2 linked regions of the Caenorhabditis elegans genome follow. The protein of the gene in region 1 purifies or fractionates together with the protein of each later gene. This does not show direct contact. Each region holds a gene or a part of one and is shown on either strand. Other genes may lie near its edges.

The links.
Region 2: the proteins of dhs-21 (region 1) and men-1 fractionate together in Caenorhabditis elegans (co-fractionation; one large-scale study listed by BioGRID). This does not show direct contact.

What each region holds. Positions count from the first base shown.
Region 1 is NC_003283.11:12,730,957-12,735,278, forward strand, and holds dhs-21 (L-xylulose reductase), read right to left. Parts: upstream 2,690-4,322; 5' UTR 2,606-2,689; coding exon 2,548-2,605; intron 1,715-2,547; coding exon 1,605-1,714; intron 1,554-1,604; coding exon 1,253-1,553; intron 1,208-1,252; coding exon 1,089-1,207; intron 1,044-1,088; coding exon 876-1,043; 3' UTR 811-875; downstream 1-810. Other genes in the region: zfyv-19 (FYVE-type domain-containing protein), read left to right, coding at 293-381, 478-767; xbx-9 (XK-related protein), read left to right, coding at 3,297-3,763, 3,850-3,997, 4,259-4,322. UniProt on the Caenorhabditis elegans protein: Catalyzes the NADPH-dependent reduction of L-xylulose, D-xylulose, L-(+) erythrulose, D-erythrose, D-threose, L-ribulose, 1,4-dibromo-2,3-butanedione and 2,3-heptanedione.
Region 2 is NC_003280.10:14,227,609-14,235,531, forward strand, and holds the start of men-1 (Malic enzyme), read right to left. Parts: upstream 6,248-7,923; 5' UTR 6,196-6,247; coding exon 6,170-6,195; intron 4,669-6,169; coding exon 3,767-4,668; intron 2,760-3,766; coding exon 2,296-2,759; intron 1,063-2,295; coding exon 730-1,062; intron 1-729. Other genes in the region: jmjd-2 (Lysine-specific demethylase 4), read right to left, coding at 7,686-7,847.

The sequences.
Region 1 (4,322 bases):
AGCTGTAGAACTGGGACCGAAAAATTCGAACCAAAAAAAATCAAACAAAATTTTTTTTGGATTCGAAAATTGGAACTTTTTACAAAAACTGAAAACCACAGTTTGCTAAAGAACATTTGTAAAATATGAAAAGTGTTTAAAATATAGAAAATTAGTTTTTTGGTGTTTTGTCACAAAAACCAAAAAAAAAAACAAATTTTCGTCGAAATATTACAAAAATAAACAAACCCCAAAAAAGTACTAACCCTGCTGTAGACTTTTAAAGTTTTACGCATATTCAATAGTATTCCAGTATTCTTCAAGACGCAGAACAACGTGTAGCTGAAACCAAGAAGCAAGAAGAACATGATGCCGCTGAACTCAGAACTCTCATGAAATCTAGTAAGTTTAAAACGAAAATTTGAATATTTCTTCAACACAGTCTTTTACAAACCTTTTTACTGCCAGCTTAATTTCTTAATTTTGCTACAATTTCAGCTCGTCAGAAGTCTCTTGACGCTATTCAATGGAATGATAAGATCACGAAAGAAATTGGTGGATTTTGGGATCGAAGAAACGAAAAATTATCTGTAGATGAAGATGAAGATGAAGACGAGAAGTCCTTAGACGAAGAGACTTTCAAAAAGATTCTTCACGAAGCCGAAAATTCAGAAGATCTGCCTCCTCAAACTTCGGAATCAAACAAGGCGTCAACACCGAGCAACTCGAGCTCACCGAAGAAAAAGGGATTATTTGAAAAGTTGTTCAGAAAAGATTCAAAACAATAGTAAATATTATTTATCTTTTTTCTATGTATGTTAAATTACGAGCTTCTTGTAAATAAATGTATTTATTGTTCACCTATATACATCGTCTCAATCTTAAAATTAAAAACTTTAGTTATTCGAAAATCCTCCATCGACAGGCAAAGTGGATCCAGTAGTCATTGAAGCATTGTCTGAAAGAAGGAAAAGGACAGCATTCACAACTTCGTCAACCTCAGCAAAACGTTTGATCGGCATTCTGTCGAGCATCTTCTTCTTCTTATCAGGATCACTCCAGTTCTAAAAAGTCTAATTATGCTCTCTTTTCAATTTGAAAATTATTACATCTCTTCCCATATCAGTCATCACAACAGTTGGATTGACACTATTAACTCGAATATTCTGGGATCCCAATTCATTTGCAAGACATCTTGTGACCATATCAAGAGCAGCTTTTGATGCACCTGAACTTTCAGATGTACATTATTTCAGTAAAGTTTTAAACTAACAATAAACAGTGTGATTATCCAATGGACGAATGGCTGCTTGTGATGAAATATTAACAATTGATCCTTTGATTTGTCTATCCACAAAGTTTCTAGCAACTAATTGTGCAATGAGAATAGGTCCCCTTACGTTGACTGCAAATGTTCTATCAATTGATTGTTGAGTAATTTGTCCAATTGCATGATTTGTTGCAATTCCAGCATTATTTACAAGACCATGAATTGGGAAATGTGGTACGATAAGTTTGAAAAGGACCTCTTCATTGGCACTCACATCTCCAACAATTGGAATTATTGTATATCTCTGAAATATTAATTTAATCAGATTGGTGTAATATTTTATATTTTCACTTACCAAAGAAGTAGTCTCTTTGACAAGACTCAACAAATTTGCTTCATTTCTCGCGAATGCAATAACCTGCGCTCCAGCTTTGGCCAACGAAAGGCAGATTTCTTTTCCAATTCCTGCAAATGTGATAAATTGTGATGTATGATTCACAATCACCCCATCGGAAGTCTTCATGAACGATTTTTATTCTATTTTTAGCTTTGTTCGCGTAATATATTTTTTACCGACTAGGAAGGATGTACTCTTGTTTTCAATGCCAGAAATTTCCTCAAACATAATCGTAAAATAATTATAATTTTCAAACGGAATGATAAAATGTTGATGATACAACAAATTTTTGATTAAAGATTATAGTGTTATCATATTATCGTATATCAACGTTTTCCTCTCCATTTGAACTAGATCATAATTACACCGGAAGTAATCAGAGAGACCATCGGTCTTTTATCACATTGGCCTAAATTTGAAATGTTAAATTAATATGGATTAAACATTTTGAAAACTTAAAAAGTACAAATCTTCATGAGATTTCAGAAAACTGATTCAGTGGCTCCAAATGTTTAATGGTTTTTTTTAATTGAGCAGATAATTTTTAACATTTCCTTACTTCAAACTACAAATAAACTTATACTAGACCAGGGAAAACCTGGTCAACTTCAATTCAAACCTTGCAAACATATCTAAACTCAAAACATAGAACAATCGTCGGAAAAGAGATTTGACGTTTTCCGTGAAGTTTTCAACTATAGGTCAAAAGTTGGGCAATAAGTTGGCACCAACTCCGAGTGGTACAAAAACTTATCTCAACATAACTTTCTGTCTAAATATCAAGTCTATTTCCTGTAGTGAGCTATCTCAATTTCATATTTGTTAAATGGAACCCAAAACAAGTGTATTTGGTTTGTATTGAAACAACCCATCTTAACTTTTTCAACATCTCAAGACTTACCTTGACTTGCTCCTGTGACAAGTATACGTTTGTCAGTGAAATCGTAATTGGCGGGCATTGTTTCGTCAGATGATATGAATATCAGAAAATGTGTAGTATCTACCCCATTCTACCCAACACGATCAACTTTTATATTGTGACTATTTTTGTTATCAATGCCATTCCTCTAACAATCTGCGTCCAATTGTGTATTGATGATCGTCATAATGGTTTCTATTTCGAGATCGACAGGGAAAACCCTTTCATTTTGCAAAGTATGTAACAATGAAACTATTGAGCACCGAAACAATGTACACAATTTTCTTTAAAACGCTCGTTTCAAAAAATAGTATATCATAAGCAGCAAAATCGAGTACTTTGTTTTTGCTGCTTATGATATATATTAGAGGATGAGTTCAAGAGCAAAAATGATCCCAAAAGTTCAAAGACTTGCAAAATATCATACTTTCCTGGTAGTTTCAGGTACCATCAAACGTATATGTCCCACTTAACATTAAGCTCAACCTTCCGTAAAAAGTTTGTTTTGGCTAGCTTCGTTAGTGTCTCCGTCTTAATTTTTTTTACATCAACAACCAATTTCAATATCACAAGATCTGCGTCCAAGAACAGCTGAAACTTCGTGACGAGTAACCATAGCAACATGGCATTTCACCTGTTCAATCTAGCCACTCAACTCGCCACATTTCTTATTCTCAATCTCAGCTTCAATAAAATCCCAACTATTGAAGTGATATAAAGATCGTGTAACCATGTCGACGGACATGGACCCAGTCCCGGGTCTTCCTTTACTTACCACTCTTTTTTGTAATTCAACAACTGTGAAGAAAAAAGTGAAGATAAGCTGTGATTTTCCTGATGAACTCTACACAAAGAAAGCATTTTACGGAGGACCAATTGGAGCTGGACTCTCCGCAATTGAAGTTTCAATCATCGCAGTTTTCTTTCTGCTTTCTTTGAAAATGAAGCGTGATATCACGAAGGTCTTTCTGACTATTGTCTACATTCCACTTGGACTGTCATCTCTGTTCAAGATTGCACTGGCTATCTACAGTATCATGCTTGGAGCTTATGGATGGTGGTACATGGTTTTTCTGATGTTCTTCAACTGGTTTTACACTACAGCAGTCCTCACTACATCCATTGGATCTGTGATTTTTCTCTCGGCGTTGATTGTAATTGCAAGGAAAAGACAAAACTTTAATCCTTGTGATTCATGGTAAGAAAATGGTTAGAATGACACAGCAAAAATCTTGAATAACATTTTTTGTTAAATGAATAGTTGATGCCTCCGATATTTTCCAGGACATCTTACTTTGCTGTGCTCTTCTTTGCTGCTATACTCTCTGGTTCATATCATTTCATCGCATCCCAATGGAACCCACTTCCTGCTTCTGCACTGTTTTTTACCTACCTTTTGTGCACAGTGGGAATCATTGCCGAGCTTCTAGTGGTAATCTATTTTTGATCTCTAAAGGTGGACATCAGTGCCCAGTTATACATTAGTGAGGTATTAAACAAAGTGTGAAAAAATCCAAAGAATAGTAGAAAATTTAACCGAAGCCAACAAGTGGTGTGATCCTATTTAAAGATCGTTTTCAGTGTAATTGTTTTGCACTTTACTTCTACACCCCTACACATATCTATTGACAGTAATTCAACAATTCCACCTTCAAATGAAATTTAAATATAGAAAATCAAAAATGTTTTCCAGTGCTTGTGTGTTGGATTAATGTGCAAACCAAAACCAGCAGCCGGAACAAACATGGCAGTTCTGA
Region 2 (7,923 bases), on another chromosome or scaffold:
AAATCGTACTTTCACCGGAAAAAAACCTATGAAAATGAGCAATTCGAATAGTAAATTCGGAAATTCTCCTCGGGGAGTACACGAACCGCGTAAATCGACACACGGTCATATTTTTGCATTCGAAAAAAAATGTGAAAAATTATATTTTCAGCAGTTTTTTTCGGAAAAATCGTCAGAAATAAGTAGAATTTTTCAATTTTAGGCATAAAATTGTCTAAAAATCATTTTTGAAGGTATTTTTCAAAATTTTTTCATGTTTTTCAGCTAAAAATGCTTTTTTCCATGAAAAATTATTCTTTTCCTCGAGGAGTACACGACTCGCGTAAATCGGTACACGGCCATTTTTTGCATTAAAAAGTGAGGAAAATCAATTTTTTCGGGTGGGGAAAAGTCTTTTTTTGTCATTTTTAAAAATGTTTTTCATCCATTTTTCATGTTTTTTCAGCTTGAAATGCTAGGAAAATCGAAATTTTCCCGATTTTTTCCAAATTTCCACTCAAAAAATTGCTTTTCTCTCCGAGGAGTACACGATTCGCGTAAATCGACACATGGCCATTTTTTGCATTAAAAAGTGAGGAAAATCACTTTTTTTCGGGGAAAAGTTTTTTTTTTTGGTATTTTTCAACAGTTTTTCATGTTTTTTTCAGCAAAAAATGTCTAAAAATTGCAGGAAAATCGAAATTTTCCGACGTTTTTTTTTTTCAAATTTCCACTCAAAAACAACCGCACCATATCATCGGGTTTCGGGTGCAAAGTGGCCAAATCGTGTCGATAACAATACTCGCCAACTTCTACGGCAATTTTCACCGAAAGTTCTCGAATATCCTTCAGACGTGGATATACACGTGAATACGTGTTCAACGACTTCTCCGATACGGCTTCGGCGACCATACGGGCGGCCAGAAGGAACAGCTTGTCCGGAATGTTTTTGGTACGGAAGAGGACGGCTCCGAGAGCAACACCCGGGAAGATGTAGGCGTTGTTTCCCTGTCCTGGCTTATAGAGTTTTCCATTCATTTCGACATTTTCGAACGGGGATCCGGAGGCGAAGAGGACGGCTCCCTGCAAAAATTGGGTATTTTTGGAGGGAAAAATAACTGATTTTTCAGATTTTTCATTGAAAAATGATTTTTAAGATTAAAAATTGACATTTTTCCAAATTTTTCCATAGAAAATTAATTTTAATTCCATTTAAAATCATTTTTCCACGAAAGAGCTGAAAAATATAAATTTTTATTAAATTCTAAAATCATTTTTTCAACTAAAAATCTAAAAAGAATAAATTTTAAAATTGACATTTTCCACAATTTTCTTCGAAAAAATTAACTTACAATTGGAAGAAATTGTACCTTTTTAAAGATTTTTCTGTTAAAAAACAAAATTTAATTCAATTTAAAATCATTTTTCCGTAAAAAATCTGAAAAAACGACGCAACTTTAAATTATAAAATTGACTTCAATAAATTAAAAACTAAAACATTATTTTAAAATGATTTTTTTTTAATTAAAATTGGCATTTTCCAGATTTTTTAAAGAAAAATAAATTTAAAATATTCTCTTTGCCGTGGAAAATATTAATTTTCAATTAAAAAAGGTTAATTTTTGATTTATAAAGTCACTTTTTAAAAGGTAAATCTGAAAAAAAACGGTCAATTTTTGAATTTCAAAATAATTTTTCCATGAAAAATCAAGCGAAAATTGGCAAATTCTACATTTCTCAACTAAAAAAGTGCAGATTTTCTCCATATTTTTCCAGTTTTTTTTTCCAATTTTCGTTATTATTTTTATTACTATTTAAAAATTACTTTTTTCCCAGATTTTTCATTTAAAACCGCTCTAAATTCTAAAAATTGATATATATTTTAGATTTTAAAATTTAAATTTTCAGATTTCCAGATTTCTCTTTGAAAAGCGACTTTAAAATTACTATTTTTCAGGTTTTTCATTGAAAAATGGCTCTAAATTGTAAAAATTGAGATTTTTTAAGTTTTTTATTTGAAAAAAAAAACATTTTTTCATGGAAAATCTGAAAAAAAAACGGTTAATTTTTAACACAAAAAGTCCGGAAAATTATACATTTGGATTTAAAAATTTTTGATTTTTTTTCCATGAAAAAGCTGGAAAATAATAATTTTTAACTAACTTTTCATTGGAAAAATCTGAAAAACGGCGAATTTTTGAATTTAAAAATTCACTTTTCCATGAAAAATGCAGTAAATTCAGCTCAAAAAATCTGAAAAATTCAGATTTTCTCCATATTTTTCCAGTTTTTTCTCTAAATTTACATATCCCGTACATTTGTGCAGCGATAAGCCGTCTCCGCAGTGCATTCTGCTTTACTTGTAGGGTTGGACAGTGCAAAAATGATTGGCCTCGGGTTCAGCCGAGCCATTTCCTTAATAATATCCTCCGTAAATGCTCCAGCCACCGTAGATGCTCCGATGAGTGCTCCAGGCTTGACAGTCTTCACAACTTCCAGCAGATTCTTGGTATCCGGAAGATCTTTAGCGAATTTCACATGTCTCTCGCCAAGAGATTTACTACGAGACGTCGTGATGAGTCCTTCAATATCAACCATATAAATCCGACCGCAAGCTTCTTCCTCCGACAATCCCTCGTCCATCATCTGTCGGACACACATTTCGGCGACTCCGGTGGCGGCTCCACCGGCTCCGAGGAAGACGATCCGTTCCTGGGAGAGCTTCTTCTTGGTGATACGAGTTGAGGCGAGCAGGCCGGCGACGACGACAGCGGCGGTACCTGGAAATTTGCAAAAAAATTTTTTTTACAAAATTTATTTCTAACTATTTTTTAATTTTTTTTTTTAATCAAAAATTTCAAATCTGAAATCTGAAAACAAAAGAACTTTTAATTTTTAATTTTTAAAACTATTTTTTAAAGACCTTTTTTTTTTGTTTCCTATTTTATATTGAAAAAATCCAAATTTCCTGGGAAACTATTATTTTTAGAATCAATTTTTCACTTTTATTTCCAAGTTCAAGGTCAAAAAAATCGAAATTTTCAAAAAATTAAAATTTCCCAAAAAAAAAAAGAAGCAAAATTTCTCTTTAAAAAATTGAAATTTCCAGAAAAATCCGAAATTTCCCGAAATTTTCCGACATTTTCAACCCGAAATTCAGAATCAGCATACTTTAATTAACAATTTTCAGCTCATTTAAACGAAATATCGTAGAATCCGGTGCCAAGTACGCAAACACCGAAGCTCTGCGTACTTCTGAGGCTACAGTAACCCGGAAATTTTCAAAATTGAGCTAGAGACTCCAAAATAATTACATGGCTAGGGGTAAAGAAATTTTACGGAAAACTTTTACGGCGGAATTTTGCAGTTAAAATATAAAGTTATAAAGGAATATATCCCCTCAAATTTGCTTCACTATTTTTTTGAAACTCCAAAATTCGAGTTTCCCGTGAAACTTCACCCCGGGCTGTACTTTTTTTTTCGAGTTACTAGCTCAATTTTGAAAATATCCGGGTTACTGTAGCCCCGAAAGTACGCAGCGCTTCGGTGTTTGCGTACCAGACACCAGATTCTACGAGATTTCTTCGTCTAAATGAGCTGAAAATTGGCGCACAGGGCAATAAAAGTATGCTGATTCTGAATTTCATATTTGAAAACAGTGAAAATTCAGATTTTTTTTGAAAAATTTCGGCCAAAATGCAATTTTTTTTCTCAAATGTGCATTTTAAAGCCTTTTTCTCCGATTTTTTCGCTTTTTTTCCTCAATTTCCCCCCTGCCAAATTCTACCTTGAATATCATCATTAAACATGCAATATTCTCCCTTATACCGATCCAACAACCGATACGCATTCTGATTTCCAAAATCTTCAAATTGAATCAGCGTATCCCGTCCGAACCGCTTCGTGGCCGCCTTCATAAAATTATCGACGAGCGTATCGTATTCGGGACCTCTAACACGCTTTCTACGGAGCCCCGTGTAGAATGGATCGTTGAGCAGCTCGCTGTTATCAGTTCCCACGTCGAGAATCACCGGGAGACACCATTCCGGGCGAATCCCTGCGAGCGCAACGTAGAGTGCAAGTTTTCCAACGGGAATTCCGATTCCATAGGTTCCCAGGTCGCCGAGGCCGAGGATCCGCTCTCCGTCAGTGATCACAATTGCTCGGACGTTCTCTGTCGGCCAATTTGCAAGAATCTGATGGATTTTACTAATACTATTATCATTAATAGTAATGTAGAGACCCTTTGGGTTACGGTAGATGAATCCGAAATGCTGACAGGCTTGTCCTACGGTAGGAGTGTACACAATTGGCATGAGCTCCTTCACATTATCGCAGAGCACTCGGTAGTAGAGCTTCTCGTTACGATCCTGCAACGAGTCCAATTGAATGTACTTGGCAAGGTTGTCAGGTTGCTGGCGGAGTTTTGTGATGATACGGTAGGCTTGTTGCTCTTCGGTCATAAATGCGGGTGGCAGAAGCCCGTGAACTCCGAGATATTGACGTTCGTGGAGGGAAAAAGCCATTCCCTTATTGAGCCCGGGCGACTTGAGCAGGTCGATTCCTCGCTTCTGGGGTGTGGTGCGTTCCGGGCGGTAGAGCTTGTGAAGGGCCAGAGTTTTGGGATCGGAGAGATCCGGCTCGTTTTTGTCGCTCAGGCATCGTGTTGATGTGGAGAGACGGCGGATGCTGGAAATTTGGGGATTTTTGGTTTTTCATTGAAAAAAATGGCAAAAATTCAGATTTTCCCGGAGAAACCCATTTAAAATGACCGAAATTCAAATTTTTCGGAAAAAAAAATCCATAAATAATGGCTAAAAATTCAGATTTTCATGGAAAAAATTTATTTAAAATCGTTAAAATTCAGATTTTCCAGAAAAAAAACTATTTAAAATGGCTAAAAAGTAGATTTTCACGGAAAAATGTATTCGAAATGGCTGAAACTCAGATTTTTCTGGGAAAATGCCATTAAAACGGCTAAATTTCAAATTTTCCGGAAAAAAATCCATAAAAAATGACTAAATATTCAGATTTTCCCGGAAAAATCCATTTAAAAGGCTGAAAATCGGATTTTTTGGAAAAAATTTTTTTTAATGACTAAAACAGTAGATTTTCACGGAAAAAATGTATTTGAAATGGCTGAAACTCAAATTTTTTAAATATAAAAAATGGCTAAAAATCAAGCTTTCCCAGAAAAATCAATTAAAAACGGCTGAAATTCAGATTTTCTCCGAAAAAAATTCATGAAAAATGGCTAAAAATCGGATTTTCTCGGAAAAAATCCCTTAAAAACGGCTGTAATTCAGTTTTTTCCAAAAAAAAATCCATTGAAAATAGCGAAAATTCAGATTTCTCCTGGAAAAACTCATTCAAACGGCTCAAATTGAGACTTTTTCCCGGAAAAATACATTAAAAATAGCGAAAAATCTGTTTTTCCAGAAAAAAAACTATTTATAATGACTAAAACTCAGATTTTTCCGAAAAAAAATTGATTACAAATGGCTTAAAATCAGATTTTCCAGGAAAAAATGCATAAAAAATGGCGGAAAATTCATTTTAAAAATGTTGAAATTTTAGATTTTCCCGGAAAAAATCCATTAAAAATTGGCTGAAATTCAGATTTTTTCGGAAAAATCCACCAACTGCGGCTAAAAATCAGATTTTTCTGGAATAAAACCATAAAAAATGTCAAAAATTCATTCAAAATGCCAGAAATACAGACTTTTTCGGAAAAAAATCTAGTAAAATGGCTGAAATGCAGATTTTCCCGGAGAAAACCATTTAAAATGGCTGAAGTTCAGATTTTTTTAGAAAAAATAAATTTAAAATGATTAAAACTCAGATTTTCCAAGAAAAATTGGGCAAAATCGCAGAAAAATCGCAGAAATTGAAATTTTCATAGGTTTTTATCGAAAAAATCTACAAATTTTTTAAATACTCGTCAAAATTCGTAGACTTTTTCAACGAAAACCTGTAAAAATTTCAATTTCTGCAATTTCTCGCAGAAAAATCGATATTTTACGCATTTTTGCCGAGACCATCTGAATTTCACCCATTTTTCATAAATTTTTTCCGAGAAAAGCAGAATTTCAGCCGTTTTAAATGGATTTTTCCGGGAAAATCTGAATTTTTAGTCATTTTTAATACATTTCTCGAATTTCAGCTAATTTCAACGCAAAATCCTCCCTACCTGGCAGGCGAAAGACGGCTCAGCATTTTTCGTGATTCCCGCACGGTTGTGAAACCCAAGAGCAAATGAGAATTGATTCTGAAATGAGACGGAAAAATGTAAAATTTCGATAAAAACTTTTTTTTTTGAAACACGTGAAATAAAAACGGTGACAATTGATAAGAAAAATGAGTGCATTTTATCAATTTTTATTCAGAAAAAATTATGGAAAACCTGAAAATTCGGGAAAACTCGCGGTGAAACTGGAGAGACAATTGCCTGAGAAGCCACAAATGGGGGCGCCCGTCGTCTATCGATCCACGTATTCTTTCGGGATAAACTATGTGCGAGAGATCTGCACTCAGCGGAGAGACGCAGGGAGAAAAAGAAAACAAAAACACGGGCGGAACTCTTTTCTTGAAAAAATGAATTTTTATTTCAAAAAGTAAGATGGAAAATCGTTTTTCCTTCGAGTGGCGGCGAAATGAGTGCTTGGGGGAGCAAGTATGCGGTGAGAGGAGGGAAGAGGGAGAAAAAGCGAGAAAAATGATGTTTTCCCGTGTTTTTTTCTTGTTTATAGCGATATTTTTCGATCAAGGTGGCCTTGTCATCGAATTAGCCGTGATCTTTGGGGTTTTAATTGGAAGAAACAGATATTTTAATGCGATTTTTTGAATTTTCCACAAAAAATAAAGAAATTAGTTTATTTTTCCTCTCGAAAACCGACAAAAACTCAAGAAAATAACGAAAATCAATGAAAAAAATAAAGAAAAATTGTCGTCAAATGTGGCGCATTGGCCGCAAAGTACGCAGTTGCCGTGTCAATTCACCGGCGCCAATTCGAATTTTGAAAGGTTTTTTCATTAAAAAATAGCTTTTTAAAGAGAATTTCTGGATTTTGAACTGTTTTTTCATTAAAAATAGCTTTTTAAAGAGAATTTCTGGATTTTGAAAGGTTTTTTCATTAAAAAACAGCTTTGAAAAGAGAATTTCTGGATTTTGAAAGGTTTTTTCATTAAAAAACAGTTTTTTAAAGAGAATTTCTGGATTTTGAACGAGTTTTCCGGTTATTTTCAATATTTTCCCACTCCCAACGCAGCTGTCAGCTCAACACGTGTTCACAGGAAGTCAACAAATCGGATAAAGTGATCTTTGGCCAATTTTTCTGATTTTTCGACGGAATTATTTGATAAGAATGCGATTAGTGTGTTGGCATTTGGAAAAAAAAAGGTTTATTAGATAAATTGATCAATTTCGGGGAAAACATTTAAAAGTTTCTGCAAAATAATAGGGAAAAATAGCGAAAAATATTTAAATGACAAAAAAATACAGAAAAAAAACAGAAAAACAGGGATAATTAGAGATTCTTCGACTTTTCGTACAAAAAAAAACTGGGGGGAAAAGAGGCGCAGAGATCACATATTTGAGGGTAGACGGGCGGGAAAGAGAGAATATATTACATTTTGACAAGAATTTTTTGTCAGGGACTATTTAATAGTAAATTTTAAAAAATCGAATATTTATTTATTTATTAAAGCTATTTTTTGAGATACGCGTTCAGTTCTCGCTTCGTTTTCAGCCTGTTCCGTGGATGGCGGACTTCTCGGCCATCTTCCAGTCGGACCGTGTACTCGATCATCTGTCCTTTTCCACGGAAGTACGCGTCGTAGACTTGCTTGTCGTCCCACACTACTTTTACCTGCAAAACAAATTGGGGAATTTATTGATTTTTTTGGGGGTTTTTAGGACTTTTTTATAGTATTTCCGGGCTTTTT